Linked DNA regions of Arabidopsis thaliana. The protein of the gene in region 2 interacts with the protein of the main gene of each other region in a pairwise test. Each region holds a gene or a part of one and is shown on either strand. Other genes may lie near its edges.

The links. Proteins that work in one complex are often made in the same cells at the same time.
Region 1: the proteins of HB26 (region 2) and AT1G26300 interact in a two-hybrid assay, tested with the Arabidopsis thaliana proteins (one large-scale study listed by BioGRID).

The regions. Positions count from the first base shown.
Region 1 is NC_003070.9:9,094,825-9,102,290, forward strand, and holds AT1G26300 (BSD domain-containing protein), read right to left. Parts: upstream 4,942-7,466; 5' UTR 4,923-4,941; coding exon 4,490-4,922; intron 4,423-4,489; coding exon 4,316-4,422; intron 4,215-4,315; coding exon 4,117-4,214; coding exon of another isoform or gene 4,113-4,116; exon of another isoform or gene 3,732-4,112; coding exon of another isoform or gene 3,333-3,731; exon of another isoform or gene 3,257-3,332; coding exon of another isoform or gene 3,227-3,256; exon of another isoform or gene 2,819-3,226; intron 1,804-2,818; coding exon 1,607-1,803; intron 1,402-1,606; coding exon 1,352-1,401; intron 1,265-1,351; coding exon 1,199-1,264; 3' UTR 944-1,198; downstream 1-943. Other genes in the region: AT1G26290 (uncharacterized protein), read left to right, coding at 3,227-3,256, 3,333-3,731; CAL (K-box region and MADS-box transcription factor family protein), read right to left, coding at 5,506-5,605, 5,820-5,968, 6,569-6,610, 6,822-6,863, 6,998-7,097, 7,186-7,256, 7,368-7,446.
Region 2 is NC_003076.8:24,320,813-24,325,213, reverse strand, and holds HB26 (homeobox protein 26), read right to left. Parts: upstream 1,844-4,401; 5' UTR 1,717-1,843; coding exon 1,045-1,716; 3' UTR 879-1,044; downstream 1-878. Other genes in the region: AT5G60470 (C2H2 and C2HC zinc fingers superfamily protein), read right to left, coding at 2,424-3,243, 3,886-4,285. UniProt on the Arabidopsis thaliana protein: Putative transcription factor.

The DNA.
Region 1 (7,466 bases), on a different chromosome or scaffold from region 2:
TTTTAAATAGTCTAGTCTTTAAATTAAATGCATCACCAACGGCTATCTGATGAAGATGGTTATCAAAATACTTTACATTGTATTTTTATTTTTTTTAATTAAACACTATACATTGGGGATATGAGATTCGACTATTAAACACACAAAATAATTTGTTAGACTTATGTAAGAACATCATCTCCAATGGGGAGCTCTTAGTGATTTTTTTTGTTGATAAAACGTGAATTTCTTAAAGATTAAGTAATCAAAAAATAATTTAAAAGAAGAAAATACAGTAAAAGGGGTTCTTATTTTTTTTCTTTGGAAATAAAATAATGAAGAAATACTTGACAAAACAAATTGTCTTTATTGATGAAGTGTCAGCAATGTATCACGTATGTAATGTAAGAGGTACCCCTAGTTTCGTGATGAAACCATGTGGAATATTTTCCCGAAATGATGTAGACCGTCTTCGCTTTTTATACACTTTTTGTTCTTTATACATTGTCCTACTATATATTTAAACAATATAAAAACGAATAATAATATTAGAGGGATAACGAGAATTGGTCGTTTCTTCGTCTGACAAAACTATCTCTCTATGGGCGGGTCTATCCGTTGGCTGTGACTGCCTCTTGTTTTTTACTCACGCATGGCCATTGTTTAGATGTTCTTTCTCATACAGAGCACCGAACCAAAAAGAATTGTCTACAACTAAAACTATTGTATTGAGTTGCTTGGTGAGAAAGAAACTAGTGTTTGTCTTGTGTTTAGAGTTTACCTTTTAAGTTTTACCAAACGCCAACGATTGTTACAAGTATAAACTCAAAATGCATCTACGAAATATGGAACTAAGAAATAAAATTGAGATTGTGGTTTGAGGCCAGAGACAACGTTGCCATCAACACTCCTTCATAAATCTATAATGAATGCACTGCTTAGGAGATTTCAGAGTGCACCGAGATTCGGAAAAGCATGAATAGATTTCATTGTGAATTTGTGATGGGTGAACCCAAAAGACTAGAGAAGTTTAGAGTTGAAGTAATTGACTACTTATCGGTAGCAGTGCTGTACAAAACGAACCAGAGGACTGTTTGGCAAAACAAATGAATCATATATGAATTGCGAAATCAAGGTCTTCGTATGCATCACTTACTAAATCAAAACTATACATTTCAAGCATCTTCTTCATTTACCCTTTTCTAATTGGAACTTAAAACTAACAAGACACTTCGTTTCCTGCATTTGTTGTAGCTTTAGATGATTGCTTCTCGTCTTCAACATCCTGTAAACACGCAGCATAGGAAGTTCCTTAGTCCGAATTCATGAACAACAAGGTCTACATTTGGCGGAAATGTAAAAGGGTGCTTACTGAGTTTCCAATCTTGTCAAAGTCATCCTCAAGGCTTCCATCACCATCATCTGGAAGGGGTTAAACACAAATTAATAGATTATACATCCTGCTAAACTGAGCTAGAGACACAGTATACACAAAACCAAATTCAACGCCTTGGCTGATTCAAACAACTTGATATACGTTTATAATGACAAAATTAGTGACGTGGATACAAGAGGAAGATAACCTAAACACAGTTAAAAGTAGGGAGCAGAGAAGAGAAATTCTCACCTGGAGCTTCATCACTGTCTTCTAGATCACCCAACAGGAATGTATCCAGATCCTGCTCAGAAGACGCAGTAGATGTTCTACGGATTGCAACATTCTTTTCTACTGTTTCTGTCTCTCCAGTCGCTGGAGCCTTCTTAGCTTCTTCATTTCCATGCTCTCCTTTGGTCTTAAGTTCCTCCATGTACTTCCTCTCATATCTGAATAAAGTCATTACAAAAGAATGCCTCAGAACAAGCCAACTACCAAGATAACATATCATATCGATGAGATGCAAGGATCAACAAATTGCTATCCTCTACATGAAGGACTGTTGAAACCATCATTATAGATATAAGTCTAAGCTAATGGCATTCTTTCATCTCACGATCTCCTAAATGCATTACCAGGCTTCTTTATCAAATCCCTTTGTCCACACATTACTCAATTCCTTAATTACGATCCTAACTCACTAGTGTGAGTTACGCTTGCTTATCACATAGTGCGATGGAGATTGTAAGAGTAACAACAAAATCTTCTTTTACAACCATACACTATCATCTACAAAATAACATTAAATCCTAAAATCCAATTAGTTTTTTTTCTTAGCAATAATATGATTAGGAGAAAATTTAGCAAAGAAATGCTATCGGTGTATTAAGACATGGTAACTGATTAAGAATAAGAATCAAATAATTTAGTTTGCAACCAAAATGTTTTTTACTTATAAGTGTTAAGTTTCTAAGTTTTTGTAAATTAATTGAACACACTATCCAATCCCTTAAGAGAAAGTTCAATATGATTTTCACATAATTAAATTTTTAACACTTTTAAGTTTTAATTTTTGTGTGAATTAATTGGACACACAACATCCAAGCTCCTAAGAGGTGTCTTAGGTTCAATATGGTTTACACATAATTAAATTTTTAACACTTGTTTTTTTTCTTAAATTTTTTTGTTTTTTTGATAAGTGTTAATTTTAAAATTTTTGTGTAAATTAATTGGATACAATATCCAAACCCCTAAGAGATGTTCTAGGTTCAATATGGTTTACAAATAATTAAATTTTTGACACTTGCTTTTTGGCAATTAATATTAATATTATGTATATTTACAATATAAAAAAACAATACTCATTATTTTATGTATATTAATTGGACATAATATCTAATTATATAAAAAATATTATGTATACTTACAATAAATTAATTAGAGACAACATCCAATCAATTTTGTTTTTCTTTGGAAACAAACATGTCAATCTTCTTCTAAATATCTCAGTCACAGATCGTAAAGATCCTACTTTTAAGCAATCCATAGCAGCCTTACAAGTAAAGCACTATTCTCACCAACATATAAAAAGGACATCAGTTTCAGTTTAATCAACCACAACAAAGTTTCTGAATCCGCAATTAGATATATTTGGAGCGTAAATGTTTCCAAGGATCTTTTGTTAACGGTCACATAAAACCATACAATTAAGAACTTTTTATAACCTTATTTGGACCACCAACTATTGTATAACTGAGTCCCACAAGGAACTCCATCAAGACATATGTCAATGTCAAAACGATATTGTTTTATAACCCCATTTGTTAATCTAGTGGGAAAGAAATATATGCGCAAGGCGAGAAGTGTGGAGCCATGGACCACAAAGACTATAGCCGACAAAATGTAAGAAAAATATGTACATTATACCTTCATCATGGAAAGAAAAGCAGCTACTCATTGTTTATAAGTATTATTGTAGGCGGAGAGGAGACTCTTATTGTCTAAAGACGAAGAGAGGATCCGCGATGAGCTAGAAATGGAAATCGAAAGAAATTTGGAAGGGGAATTCAAGGACGGGATCTACAATCTCGCACTCAAGCTGCGTCGACTTTATGAACAAAGACGAGAAAGAGAGGAGTTGTTCGATGTTTCAATGAGAAAGAGCAAGAGAGTATTGGAGGTGAACATAAATATAAAGATGGAAGGAGATACCAAGATTGAGATCACAGAGAAGAAGAAGGAAGTAGACAACGAAAAGACGAAAAAGGCAGAGAATTCGGACAAGAGAAAGAAGTTTGTAGCAGTTGGTGAAGATAAAACAGGAAAAGAAAAGATGAAGAATCAAACGAGGGCTCATGAGCTCAGATGGAAATGGTAAAGAGAATGATTGGCCTGGATCTGTGCCTATATGCTGGTATCTATCTATGTTTGCACTTTTTCTTCCTGCAAATCCTACTTAAACACGAATGAAATAAGAGTTATGCTTGCTTATCACATAGTGCGATGGAGATTGTAAGAGTAACAACAAAATCTTCTTTTACAACCATACACTATCATCTAACAAAATAACACCAAATCCTAAAATCCAATTAGTTTTTTTATTAGCAATAATATGATTAGGAGAAAGTTTAGCAAAGAAATGCTATCGGTGTATTAAGACATGGTAACTGATTAAGAATAAGAATCAAATAAATATATAGAAGAGATAAAATAATGCTATTCTATAAAATCATAAATTTATAGAAGAGATGGTAAAGACTTACGGAGAAACATGAGTGCTCACTAGTGTGAAATAAATCCTCCAGAACCTCCTTTCTTTCATGAAACGAGGGCAAAGTTCGTATCTTAACTTGGAGATTTGCTGCAACAATGTGCAATGTGCATACAAAATCAGCTAACTAGATTCCTAGAGTAGACACTACAAGTCATATAACATATGAAATCTCGAATTTGAAAGTTGACCTTGACAGAGGTTAGAACCAGAGTGGCATGTCTCTCTTGCCAATCCGAGAGATCCTTTCGAACATTCGAAGCATTTGTTATCACATCGGAAACTTCATCCCCTTGATCTATACAAGTAGCTCACATTCAGCGAAACGAAGAGCCAACAAAATCGAAACAAAAATCAACAAATACCTTGATCAGGAAAAGCTTGGAATGTAGCAGAGGTCAAGCCTTCAGCGAACTCTCTCAAATCATCCGTTACACCGAATTCGAGAAGCTCCGCTTCTGAACCGGATCCTGACCCGGTCCCGGTCCCGATTATATCAGCGATCGATTTGATGTTCTGGATCTGATCAGCTTGTTTCAGCGCGGCGACTTTGAACTGATCCGCCTTCTTTGAAGCTTCAGCAGCGAATTCTTTGGATTTCTTAGCCGTTTCAGCAACGAAATCGGCGGCATTGAATTGATCAGCTTTCTTCGAAGCTTCGAGAGCGAGTTCCTTGGATTTCTTAGCAGTCTCGGTGACGAGATTGACGAAGGTCGCGGAGGATGATTGTGTTATCGTCTGAGACTTCTTACCCGCTTCTTCTGCGAACGATTTTGCCCTCTTCCATAGATCCTCCATTGCTGCGACTACTATTTTTCTTTTCTTCTCCGATTTGTTTTATACAGTTTCTTCTTTGGCAAAATGCCAAGTATTATGGGCTTAAACAATGAACTAATAATTATGAAGCCCACAAGGGCCCAATAATTCTCATTTCCGATCGTATCACGCACCTACATGAAGCAAATGGAGAAGAAACCGAATGTCACGTTCCCAACATTTTTATTTCTATTTTCAATTCAAAATTTACCTTCTAAGGCTGTGATTTACTTTGACCAAGTAAAGTTCAAATCATCAAAGACTAAATTCGTATTACAAATATTTTTTTTGTGTGAAAGAAATCAAATTACAATGTAACGATGAGATCAATATAGAAAAGGTTTGAACAACAATTCTTTCTAGCTCTCTCAGTCCCCAAATATTACATTTATTCATTGCTCCCCGAAATACAAGATATATTGAATTGGAAAAAGGCTTGATCATGTTGATATGATATAAGGACATACCAAAAATATATTAATTAACCGGTGTTTAATATAGATCATGAGTAGAGGATCGATCTTATATTATTTTAAAGAGATTGATATAGATCGATGTAGTCTATTCAAGCGGCGTAACAGCCAAGGTAATTGTAAATGGGTTCAAGAGTCAGATCCAGATTGTTCCTCCTCATCGCCGTTTGGTCTTCTTCTTGGTACAAACCACTGAAATTACAATCATATATAGCAAATTAAAATCATAATACAATAATATGCATGCATACCATCAACCTCTAACGCCATACCTAACACAAACCCTATATATGAAGTGCATTCACTATCATTGCCTATATGACTGACTGAACACTTCACTATATATGAGAATTTGACATTATGGTAAGAAAAAAGAACTTAAAAAAACAAGAAATACTGCCGTTACCCCATATTTAGGAAAGGAGAAGTCTGATGAGCGATCATGTAAAGATGGGGGTGTTGAAATGGTTGTGGCTGTGGTACATCGTCGACGCTGCGGTTCAGCTGCTCACATTGGGTTTGTTTTGTCCTTAGGATGTTTTCCCTCTCCTTTATCTATACCGATTACACACGCCAAGAAAATGATATAAGCATCATCTTTATATAGATTCCCATTTGCAACTAATCAGCTATTTGCATTTATTCAAGGAACTTCAATTTTTTATTCTTATACTTTTTTTTGTAATATGATATTTTCAAACAAAATGCAAAGTAATAATTAAATCTGCAAAATGTTAAGCGAATTTTAGCGTCGTCAAGGTCTTACTATTGTGATATTTTTTCATTTAATATATGTTCTTTAATCAAGTAGTTTCATCGTACGTTTTCTTACTTCTCAATAAAACTTAAATAGAGCTCCTAGCTATCTAGCTAATGTATGTGTAATTTACACATAGACTATGATTATGAGAAGACAGTTCAAGTTCAAGTTCAAATCTGGGAGACAACCTTAATACTAAACGGACAAAGCTTACCTATACGTGCAGCTAGGCTCATGATTATACCAATCAAAAGAAACTACATATCAATTCTTTTTACTCAAAAGAGTTGGTGCCGAAAGTGGAGAGATGGTAGCTTAAGGTAGAGATTGAAGTGGAGTTCAACAGTGGAATTGTAAATAGTGAAACAGTTAGAAATGCAAAAAACAATGATCACCTGTTTGGTAAGCATGCTGTTTTCCTCCTGTATCTCCTTCTCCTGTCATTTCCACAAAAATGACACCATTGTCAATTTCTCTTTTTATATGATCTATATAAGTATATATACATCTAGTAATTAATAATATATTAACCTGAATTATATATAACCTATATGTTATTTATTTATTAAAAGATTTATATCTCTAACATATAAGTCATGACTCTATACACACAGGACTTGAGAGATAAAATGGTTTTAACTTAGCTACCTTTCTTTGGAGGTGGTTGAGGGACTCATTCATGAGTTGATTCTGCATACAAAAAGGCCAAAAATTATTTATTTATATGAGACAATCTCTATACAATATTTGACTATATGTAATATATCCACACAAAGTCAAAGTTAGTTATGCATAGAGATAGAGTGTGGGATATATTTACACACTTTTCTGGAGCGAATGTGCTTAAGAGCAGTCTCAAGCTGCTGCTCCAGATTTTGGAGATCCTTGAGGCTCATTGGTTCCAACTCTTCTCCCAGATAATGCCTATGATGATTTAGTTAATTAAGAACATTCTCTCTTCTGTTATTCCTCAATATTTAACTACTAAAATAAATTTAAATGTACTATGTACCTTTGGTTTCTCTCCAAAAGCTCAATCTTGGCCTTAAGCCTGCTATACTCCATTGACCAGTTCGTCTGTGCCTTCACAATTAATTTCCAACATGAAAGCCAATAATCAGTTTATATGCTATGTTAAAACACATGCAAGATTCAAAATATACACAAATATATGATGGAGATCATTAAACATACATTAACGTGAGAGTCAGGTGCAATCAGCTGTCTCTCGGCGTAAGAATACCTCTCGTAGCGTTCTAGTACCTTCTCCATGCTACAAATATTAAGCTTACG
Region 2 (4,401 bases):
ACCATCCTACAACTATAGCAACAAATTCGTTCTTCATTTTAATTTAAGTCAAAGAATTAAATTGGTTTGCCACATGCATGATTGCAAATCTGGGAAAATGGAAGTCCAGTCGATCAATTTAATAATTATTCAACAAAACGAATCTCTTTATAATTTGGAATTTGAAACTTGAAACAGCATATAGGTGACGACTCCTCCTTCGTCAAAGAATCTTCCATTAAATATCACCCCAATAAGAAGCTTCTGATGACAAGGAATAAAGACCATCAGATGCTTCGTTCAAGATGTGTGTGAAGAGCCAACTCTTTACGGAAAGATATATGTATTAGGACAATATAGTGTATAGATACAATTGCATTATCCTTATTTAGGACAATTATATGAGGGCTGTTACCGAAGCTTTATCCTTAAATGGATGTACATATAATATCCTAATCACGTATCTTATTAGTTAAAATCTACTTGCCTTTAAAGTTCAGGAGATTCGTTTGTAGTGTCAACGAGAATGGGTCACATCTTGTATTCAAAAGGAGTGTTATTGTGTTTCTCAATGTCACTAGTTAAAGTAGCCGTGTCAAGTAGGAAGTATCTATATAGAGACTACATCCTGTTTTCACCTTTTACTCCTTAAACTAGGATTAGTACTGTAGAGAAAGAAAAAAAACTAGGTACTGATTTCCTCCTATATATTAACCAGTTACCTATATATTTCAATTTTCTTAGTTACTCACTCATGAATTATTATTTACAGCATTGTTACACTATATACTTACTTATATATAAATATAAACAAAAAAGAGAGAGTAAATACCCTTAATATCACTCGAATACATATCCATATACATGTCATGAGTCATGATCCATCGTTACAAGTTATGCCCAAAATGACAAGTCTTCTAGGATAATAATTTTTAATTTTAAAAAAACTTAGATAATTTATATTTCTGACGTGACATTCCGGTCGGATCAGAGACTACCGTAACCTCTTTTTGTTTCGGTTTTTCCTTATCTCAAGAAGATGAAGACCCATCACTGTAAAGAGATCTACAACTTCAAATTCAAAGACATAGAGGACGTCGTGTCTCTGCTCCTCCCGTTGTTAAAGTACTTATTGTTGTGGATCCAAACCTTAAGAACTTTTCTCTCTATTCCAACTTCACTACAAAACTCTCTCACCCACTTCTCATCCCAGCCGTTAATCTTCCACCCCGCTCTCTCCGCGAAACCTCTCATCTTCACCTTCTGCTCCGCCGTGAATTTCGTCCTCTTATGTTTCTTAATCATCGCAGTCTTCCTAACATCCCTTTCCACCGTAAATTTGTTCTTGACTTCTTGATCCGAGGGTCCAAAGAAACCGGAGCTAAGAGAGAGAAGCAAGTTCGGAACAGGGGCGAGTGGCTGCAGCTGTAACGGAGACGGTGGTGACCGGTGCTGACTGAAGCCGTCAGAAGGACTACGACGGTGGAAGTTGCGATGGCAGCCACAAGCATCGCACCTAAGGGACGGAGGGTCCGTGAGGATGGTGGTTGACTTTGGTGTGAACTCACCGCAGCCGTCAAGAGCGTGGCCTCCGAGACTGACCGCGTGGTTTTTAAGGCACTCGTTGTACAAGACAACCATATCTCGGGCGCAGGCGATTGTTTGTTCTCTGCCGGTGTCTTGGTTGTTTGTTGTTGGTGACAAAAATTGTCTGTTTGGTTTTGATAACGAGCTCATGTCTGATTCTTATTTCACTCACTAGTGCGTTTATACTCTGTTTCTGGAAATGTTGTCAATGACATAAAGGGAGAGATTTTGTCCAATAGGTTTATATAAATAACATTGTTGATTGCAATTTGGATTAGTAAATAATCCTATTATTTAGCATTAGTTTGGAAACTTTTTAAAAAGACAAGAAGAATGAGATGCGTGTTTTCAGTCATGATTAATCAAATCTGAAAACGCTTAAGAATTATATAAAAACCTTACGTTTCTTTTTTTTTGGGGGGGAGGATAAAAACCTTACGTTTCTGCAAGAAAAGAGATTTCGAATTTCATGCATGATCCATGGTTAGGTTTCTCTATGCATGGTGGCACGTGGGGCCAAATAACTTTCAATCTTTGTCAACCGAGTTAACCTGGTCTACTAAATCGAGTTGACTCAGAAATTCTCTCGTGATCTACGCTTTTCTCCTATTGTTGTGGATGGTTGTCTCGCATCTAGCTCCCATCCCATACGTTGTCTCCAATGAGAGAAAATATATAAATAAAATTTTTAGATTTAAACAATACACTTCCACGTACATATTATTTTGTAAACAAATTATCGCTTCAGGTTTTTGTTCTATAGTTTTTCTAAAGAACTTGTGGAGATAGTTTTTCTATCTTTAATTACCTTGCATGTCAACAAAAACGAGTAATTTCAGAATCAGATGACGCCATGTCTATGGTTGCTTCCTGCCTACAATGGTTGCGGCCAACTTGGGAATATCATGGTTCGCCGTCAATGGCACGCTTGATGGGAAGCGATGACGATGTAGACGTTGTTGGTCCTCACTACTTCCCACACCAAGAAAGTCTCTGGTCAACTCTTCTTCATTATTCTTCGCCGTTAAACAATAGGAGTTTAGCATCGTATTGTTGAAGATGGAGGAAGTCATTTGCCCAAACATGGTGGTGCTAGTTTCGGAGCTTGATGGTGTTCCCGTTTGAGCTACCTTTTGAAGCAATGTTGTTGCCGAAAATGAAGCCATATTCACTGCTTCTTGATTATACGAGAACAAGGATGCTATGTTTCCATCGGTTGGGTTTGAGCCGCTGTAGATATTTCCCTTCTTTATCTCATCTTCTTGATTCTTGAATATTCCCTTATGGAATATGTTTTTGTTATTGTTCATATATTCATTGAGTAACCACTGGTGTGCACATTCCTCTTCTTGTAACTTCCATAGATTATGAACCGAATCAGATGTACTACGAGGTGATGGTGGTGAGGACAACGCCAAAGCATTGGGTTGTTGTTGGGTTGGGTTGGAGTTGGTGAACTTTTGTCCAAATAGGGTGGTGTGATTGTTGTTGACGTTAAGATCGGCCGTACCTGTGGAAGATTGATCCAATTGTGATTGAATGAGAATTGGATTGTTGGTATCAGTGACAGTGGCGATGGTCGAATTGGCGGCTAATGGTGAAGGAACTGAGAAGAATTTAGAACTTTCTTCAGCTAAGACATCACAGAAGGATCTATGTGAGATGAAACTGTCCTTCCTGGTACAATCAACCAAATCATTCAATAAAGTAACTATGTTAATATAGGCTAATTGGTAACATATAAATTAAATTAAAATAGGTCTTCTTGTATATGGTATATATGCAACTCTTTATTCGATGCAAGCTTATAATCGATATGTGTAGTAAGGTGAAAAAAAAAAGACTCAAGGCTATGGAGACATGACCACATCATGTCCTAGTCATGCAGCCTTTTTTCTCCTCGATATTGGTGTCTCTATAAAACTACAAACTGGACCAAGACACAGAGAAGCCAAGAAATAATTAACGGTAGTGGTATCCAAATGACAAGCTACGAGCCAAAGACCAACGTACTCGCTATACATAAAGTAAACTCAATAACTTTTTATTTTTCTAGCATAGGCAATATCATGCTTTTATGTATGCATGCATCTGTTTCGATGTCCAATTATAAGACCCGGTTTGTTTCAAATATAATTCAAATATGTTTTGTGTTTTACGTTTATATTTATATTTTTATCAAACACTTCAAATAAATGCAAACCTGAAGATTTGAAAACGTTTTTTCCGTTGTTACAATTTTTAAAAATGTTTGATATATGAACATGTTAAGGCAAACGATAATGCTGCAGACGAAGACGTAGAAAGAGTAGTAATGACCTGGAGAAAAGAGTACCACAATCACATCTAAACTCTCTGCTACCACAAATCTTGTTATGAGCTTTCCAATCGGATATCACAGCATACTTCTTGGAACACTTATCGCATTTCCACTTCTTCTCTCCATGTTTCCTGCTAAAGTGCTTCTTTATTCCAGTAAGGTCTCCTAGGGCTCGAGCTGGATCATGATGGACGCAACTCTTCTCAGGGCATATATAAACTTTCTTCTTCACCTGATTCTTGTTCGTTTTCTGCTTCAGCTTCCATGGCAGGTTGTGGCCTCTTTTGTGGAGCTGAAGGTTCTGTTCTCTCTGAAACCCCTTGTTACAAATTTCACAAAAGAACCGATTTGTCGCCATGAGGGATTTTGGAGATAGAGAGATGACTTCTGCATTTGGATCTGTTTTTTGTTGTTGTTGTTAGAAACAAAATTAGAACCAATAAAAATAAAACAGTATCAAGAAAGAAAAAAGAAAACACAAAGGATCTATACTTGGAAAAAGATTATTGATTTTG